Xenopus tropicalis: one gene and its partner. The protein of the gene in region 2 interacts with the protein of the main gene of each other region in a biochemical or structural test. Links are inferred from orthologs where the notes say so. Each region holds a gene or a part of one and is shown on either strand. Other genes may lie near its edges.

Region 1 (3,110 bases), on a different chromosome or scaffold from region 2:
TTATAATTCTAGGTAGAGACCCTTTTACCGAAAAACCATTCCTGTTGATAGATCCCATACCTGAAGAAGATCAGGCTTATGCCATACACACAGATTTTATAACAGCACAATTACGGAACAAGATATGCTGAAAATGAAACACAAACGGGTTGGGGGGGGATAGAGATTAAAAATCACAAATCTGCAAAAAGTCATTTGAATTTTTTTTTTTAATAAGTTGACTCATGTTCACATAAGTTTCACTGACCGTTTGTACTTTTTAGGTCCAGATGCAATGCATTTTTTTTTTTTTTGTAAAAAAAAGAGCAGTTGTATTTTATACCTTGCATGAATTAACCTATGTACCTTTAACTCTACAAACCTCTGCATAACATTTAGACAAAGCTCAGACATACAGCATGCCTAGCCCTCGTAATATGTACACGTCTCTAAATCACAGGTATATAAGGTGTCAATTAGAACTAACGACCTTCCCCATGTAAGGTTTATTTTTTTTTTTCCATTTGGTAACAAAAATGAGAAAAAAAAAGTCAAACTAAAAATATTTTACGTGTCTCTAAAATATCTCTTTGTGCTAAATTCAAATGTTAGCTCACATGAAAAGGACCCTTTTTTTTCTGTTTGTTTTTTTTTTTTAATATACTTCAGCAATTATATAATCTGACCATTGCAAACACTTTTTAATAATAGCAGGTGTACAAAAGTTCTTGGTTAATTAGGGAAATAAACACTCAATTTTTTTATATTTTAATCAAGTAGGAAACACAGTTCATATATAATGTTATTACTTTGTTTTGTTTTTTTAGCAGCTGCTTACTGTTTATATGGTGGGTAAGTGGACAACATCCAGCGATGGGGTGTGACAAGTCACAATCTGTCAGTGTGTGGAGGATTGGTGGGCGGTGCTCCCTCTGAGTTAAACAGTTATTATATATTTTTGTTTTCTCTTTGACAGTTCATAAAGGGATAAAGGGAAAGGAAGGGGAGGGGGGTAATTGGGACAGTTATCAATCGTCTTCCCCATCGTCCCCATGGCCCTCCTGCTGTTGGTGCTCAGAGGCTCGCTTCTCCCTCTGCTTCTCCTGGATCTTCTTCATCTCCTCGGCGTATTTGCAGAAAGTGTGCCCGAATTTGCCCCACACTTTGTACGGGACGGTGATAGAGTTGCGGTAGGTGGGCTTCACTTCGCTCACCCTCATAAACACCCCGTACTTATTAGAGCCCACGTCAAAAAAAAACCGCTTGTTGTCCACAGTCAATGAAGTGCCCTCAGGTAATTCGGCCGGTTCCTCCTCCACCCCGTAATCGTCGATAAGCTTGGCTAGAGCATCGCGGAACTCGATTAGTCCTTGCGCTGGGAGAGCGATGGTCTGACCCTGGGTCGAGCCCAGGCCGGGCCCGCGGTTTACCGTCTGGCGAATCCTCAGGAACCGGCCTCTCTGGTTCTCTTTCAGATCCATGTAGTATTTGCGGTTTTCCCTGACCAAGAACTCACTCTTTAGCGCTCGCCGCGGCTCATCCTGCGCCATGTCCGGGTTACTGGGTCCTAACTGGGCGTAATGCTCGATGAAATCTCCCAGATAGTCGCGGAATTCCACCGCCACCGACATTGACAGCGTCAGGCGACTCTTGTTGCCGCCGGCCCCGACCTCCGCTATCTTCAGGAAGCGGCCCTTAGCGTTCTGCTTAACGTCCAAATAAAAGCGCTTATTCTGGATGTCCACACGTTTAGAGGCCAGTTCTTGCGTTTCGTGCTGCAGGACTGAGCCACCTGCTCCTGACGCCGGGTGTAGCGAGCTACCGCCGGAACTCATTGCCGCTCCGCCTTGCTCGCTTCCACTATCTCTATCCGCCATGATACAGGCTCTGCCTTCTTCCCTTCTGCCTACTACTCCCACAGATACTGCTCCCACAGCCAGCCCCGCCGCTCTCGCGAGATCTGCCCTGTGAGGGAAGCCAAGCACATTTCTATTTAAAAGACACTAGCCGCCGTGTCACTGAGCAGATTGCCACTGCAACTTGCCTTCCTCAAAAGTCTGAACGATTTTGTGTTTTGGGAAAATAAAGTCACTTTCTACCACACACTATCCTATCCCTGTGTTTGTACATGGCACTTGGTCATTCTGTGGAACGGCTAAGCCTTCAGTATTGCCTCACTATGCAGTAGGGAAGGTACCACAGACTGGCAGGATTTATTAGCACATCTATTAAAAGTGCAATGACAAGAACAAAATAGGTTAAAAGGAGAGAATCAGTGGCGTAGCGTGGGCTTTCGTCGCCTGGGGCCGACCGGAAATTTGCCGCCCCTCTATTTAGTTATACTTAAAAAAAATAGACAAAATAAAAAAAGCAGCATTAAATTTTTTTTTTTTTTTTTGATTGAATTTGAAATGCGGTGCGCATGTCATAATTGTCAAAAGTGGCTGCCCATGGTGGCAGGGCCGCCATCAGAAATCACGGGGCCCCTCCCATCAGTACAGGACACACAGACATAAAAAGTATTAGGGTCACCCTACCACAGTGCCCCCTAACGCTATTCTGGCCACGGTCCCCCCATACAACTGCCCCATAGACAGTACCCCCATACACAGTGCCCCCAATTGCCCCATACACAGTGCCCCCCACACACATTGCCTCCAATTGCCCATAGAAAGTGCCCCAATTTCCCTATAGACAGTGCCTCCAATTGCCCCATACACAGTGTCCCCATAGACAGCCCCCTCCACACAGTGCCCCCAATTGCCCTTAGACAGTGCCCCCATACACAGTGCCCCAATTTCCCCATACACAGTTCCCCCATAGACAGTACCCCCCAAAGACCTTGCCCCCCCACAGAAAGTGCCCCCATACACAGTGCCCCAATTGCCCCATACACAGTTCCCCCAATAGAAAGTGCCCCCATACACAGTGCCCCCATAAACAGTGCCCCCAATTGCCCCATACAAAGTGCCCCCAATAGGAAGTGCCCCCATACACAGTGCCCCAAACACAGTGTCCCCATAGACAATACCCCCCAAAGACCTTGCCCCCCAATAGAAAGTGCCCTCATACACAGAGCCCCAATTGCCCCATACACAGTGCCCCCAATAGGAAGTGCCCCCATACACAAT
Region 2 (3,956 bases):
AACTATTGGAGCTTTCTCTAACAGGTTTCTGGATAAGGGATCCCATATACCTGTACAAACAAAATTTAAACTGAAGCCAAGAAACCAATTGTTCAAATTATAAACTGAATGGTTATTCTAGAATATTACACAAGGGCAATGGCATAACTAGCATACAACTGGGTGGCCAGACAGGCGCCATATTTGCTCCCCACAGATGCTCGTTGACCCAAGTATGAAAGCAAAGGGATGGGAAAGGTTTAAAGTTTCACACTGCAGTGGAAGATGGGAGCCACTTTTGCCCTCCACCAAACCCCCCACTCCCTCACCCATAATGCCAGGGCCTGGAAAATGTATCTGCATTGGGCCCTGCCTTCTAATAGTACACCGATGATTATACATATCATTTAGATTTTACAGAAATTCTGGAAGATTTTGGGGGCACATGAACATCACCAATGGAATAATTCTGGTAAAAAGAACATGGGGTCGGGGACAATGTAACCAGATGCATCAAGTGAGAGGGGGGTTGTCAATAGCTTGGCGTCACGTCATCTTGTTTTTTCTGTGTTTCGCACTGTTTTCCTTTTCTAAATAAAATGTAATAATTAAAAAATGCTGTGAAACAAAAACAATTAAGGATGTGAACTTAAGATGATTTGCTGTAAACCGCTTTTTGCTGAAAAGTTGTTTTTTTTTATTGGCAATGAAAATAGATTTATTGATAAATTAAGCTAGCTCAATCAAACACACTGATCCCGTCTGCTCTTCAATTCAGAACAGCCCTCAATTAAGGGAACAAAATGAAGAAAAAAAAAAAAAGTTAACTTTTACTTTACTACATAAACTCGCTTATAAATACAACTTTTAAGGGCAGTTTTTAAGTAAAAATATACGCAAACAACCAACTTACAGAATAATCCCCCCCAACTCTTTAAACCTTTTTAGCTGTACACTCCAAATCAAAAGCTTCAGCCTGGTGCATTTTTATATACAAAATCTGTAACTTAAGTGATCAACATAATAAACAGCATAGGGAACAAATTATATATTATATAAAACCACAACACTATAGAACACCGGCAGCAAGCTGTTTGCACGGGGTGTTCGTAAGGTTAAAGGAAGGGACAACAATGCTGCTGGGATTTAATAAATTAAAACAAAATGTGTCACAATGCATACTACTTCCTCTATAAGGATGCACAGGAAATGCCAAGAGCGGGGAAAAGAAATAGGGGCGGCCCAAAGCTCTTCATTCAGAGAAAGAATGACACGAAGACTGTCTGTGCTGAGAGCTCTTACGTACTAACATACTGAAGTGGTTAGGCCATCAGCAACCAGTTCATCTGCTTGAAGGTTCATTATTAAAGCCTCACTTTTCTCCACCACCCACACCAAGCCCTTAACCCCTCTGAAAAACATTTTAAAAATGCATCATTTCCCCCATACACACACACATATGGGTAAATATAAGTGCTAAGACCAGACTATAACCTCTCGTTTCTTGTTTAATCTTCTGCAGTAGGGAGAGAGGTGTGTGTGCGTATATATATATATATATATATATATATATATATATATATATATATATATATATATATATATGGAAAAGGAAGCACACCATAAGAATGCGATACCTAGGTGCCAGAGCGAGGAATCAAATATAGTGTAGGTTATATAGTGTAGGTTGTCAGCACTCATAGGTTTTAAGTAATAAAGCAAAAAAGGCAACAAATAGAAAAATCAAGCAGTGAGGTTTATTTGTTCCGATGTTTCAGTCCTATACAGGGACTTTCGATCCCTGACGAATGTCCCTGTATAGGACTGAAATAAACCTCACTGCTTGATTTTTCAATTTGTTGCCTTTTTTGCTTTATTACTTAAAACCTGAGCGCTGACAACCTACACTATATATATATATATTTATTACTCACACACACATTTATTTTGGCGCTTGATTAGTAATACAAATTAACATCTCCAAAATCGATTTTCTTGCATTACAAACATGAACCTCCAAAAGGAATGTGGACCATAGGAATATATAGCCTTATAAGACAATTAGGAACTGGAGCAGCAATGAATGATTATTGGTAATAGGTTCTGTGCTAGACAAAAAAAAAAAATATCCTATTCAGGCACTATTTTACAAATCCAGAGCTGTGAGGCCACTAAAGTCACAGTCGAAGTTGAAAAGTTCTGCAGCACCCTCGCAGGTTTGCAATCCAAAGCTGTACTCCTGTGATGAAGCAGGAGACAGGCTGATGAAGTCATTGGGGAGAAAGTCCGGCATAGCATCCCGGTAGTCCAGGAGGAGGTTAGAGGGAGAAAGTGGGAGACAATTCAAGGTAGAATCAAGAGGTATTTCATTCTCTGGTGGCAGGAACGGCTCTACAAAAAACATGACAAGTAGGTTATATTAGTGGAGTGAGAAAATACAGGGTTATTGATAATAGCTCTTACAACAAGTTGATCCAGGAACTGGTCCAATTGTCATCTTGGTGTCAGAAAGGAAATTTTTTACCGCAACTGAGGGAAAACTGGAGAAGCTTCAAATAGCTTTGGGTGGGGGGCTAAACCCTTCCTGAGCTTAGGAACTGACCGGCAGTGAGAGTAAAGGTGGCCATAGACGTTAAGATCCGCTTACTTGGCGAAGTCGCCAAGTGAGCGGATCTCCTCCCGATATCCCCCACCAACAGGTGGGCGATATCAAGCAAATCCAGTTGTTTGGCCGATTGAACGAACGAATTAGAACGATGGTAATAGGACCGATCCGACTAAATTTTTTAACCTGCCCGATTCCAGGCCAGATGTTGGTCGGGTAGGCCTGTCGTTAGTGCCCCTACACGGGCCAATAAGCTGCCGAATCGGTCTAAGGGACCGATATTGGCAACTAGAATCAGCCTGTGTATGGCCACCTATAGAGAGAGTGTGAGTGTAATAAACAATAGAGGTCATCAGTATTATTGTATATTATTGCTGCTGAGATGTTCTGTGACAAAGTCTCCACCTCGAGTTGCAGGAACAAAGAACATGAGCAGGTAGGATTCTCATTGATGGATTACAATATAACCATGATATTATTAAACTACAGCTCCAAATGCACTTGATACCGTGATGTTAAAGTAGGCTGGAATTTGTAGCAGCAAGTCAAGTAAGGTGTAAGTAATCAACATGGATGTTGGTCTACTATGTGCCAAACAACAGACAAGATACTTCTATGTAATGCTAGCCATTCAATAAAGCTTTGAAGCCTATAAATGAAAAAAAAAAACTGCCACTTTCCAGCACATGATTTATTAAATCCCCAGTTCCACAGCAATGCTTTTTAGATCTGCTGTTTTTGTCAACCAAACATTGCACCTTAAATTTGCAAGCTCTGGCCTTACTTTGTAGTGCCACCAGAATTTGACCTCATTAGCCGAGACTGATTAGTATAGCCCTTGCTAAATGGTAGGTTTGCTTCTCGTTTAGCAGCCTGACTCTACAGCAGCAGATTTCCATGCAATCTGAAGCAGTTAGATCGGATTAAAGGAATAGTAACACCAAAAAATGAAAGTGTATAAAACTAAAATATAATGTGCTGCTGCCCTGCACTGGTAAAAGTTGTGTGTTTACTTCAGAAAGTCTACTATAATTTATATAAATAAGCTGCTATGTAGCCATGGAGGCAGCCATTCAAAGGAGAAAAGGCACAGGCACATAGCAGATAACAGATAAAACACTATTGTATTCTACAGAACTTATCTGTTATCTGCTATGTAACCTGTGCCTTTTCTCCTTTTTCCAAGCTTGAACGGCTGCCCCCGTGGCTACACAGCAGCTTATTATATAAATTATAGTAGTGTTACTGTAGCAAACACACCAGTTTTACCAGTGCAGGGCAACAGTGCATTATATTTTTATTACTTTAAAGCTCTTTCATTTTTTGGTGTTACTGTTCCTTTAACAGATTACTTAGACCAAGTTTGTTTGGA

What was found. The genes of interacting proteins can lie anywhere in the genome.
Region 1: the proteins of e2f1 (region 2) and pura form a complex in vitro, tested with the Homo sapiens proteins (2 studies listed by BioGRID). The link is inferred for Xenopus tropicalis from reciprocal best matches to the Homo sapiens genes E2F1 and PURA.

Annotation. Positions count from the first base shown.
Region 1 is NC_030679.2:31,046,967-31,050,076, reverse strand, and holds pura (transcriptional activator protein Pur-alpha), read right to left. Parts: upstream 1,912-3,110; 5' UTR 1,857-1,911; coding exon 1,008-1,856; 3' UTR 625-1,007; downstream 1-624. UniProt on the Homo sapiens protein: This is a probable transcription activator that specifically binds the purine-rich single strand of the PUR element located upstream of the MYC gene. May play a role in the initiation of DNA replication and in recombination.
Region 2 is NC_030686.2:41,701,470-41,705,425, reverse strand, and holds the end of e2f1 (transcription factor E2F1), read right to left. Parts: intron 2,371-3,956; coding exon 2,126-2,370; 3' UTR 653-2,125; downstream 1-652. UniProt on the Homo sapiens protein: Transcription activator that binds DNA cooperatively with DP proteins through the E2 recognition site, 5'-TTTC[CG]CGC-3' found in the promoter region of a number of genes whose products are involved in cell cycle regulation or in DNA replication.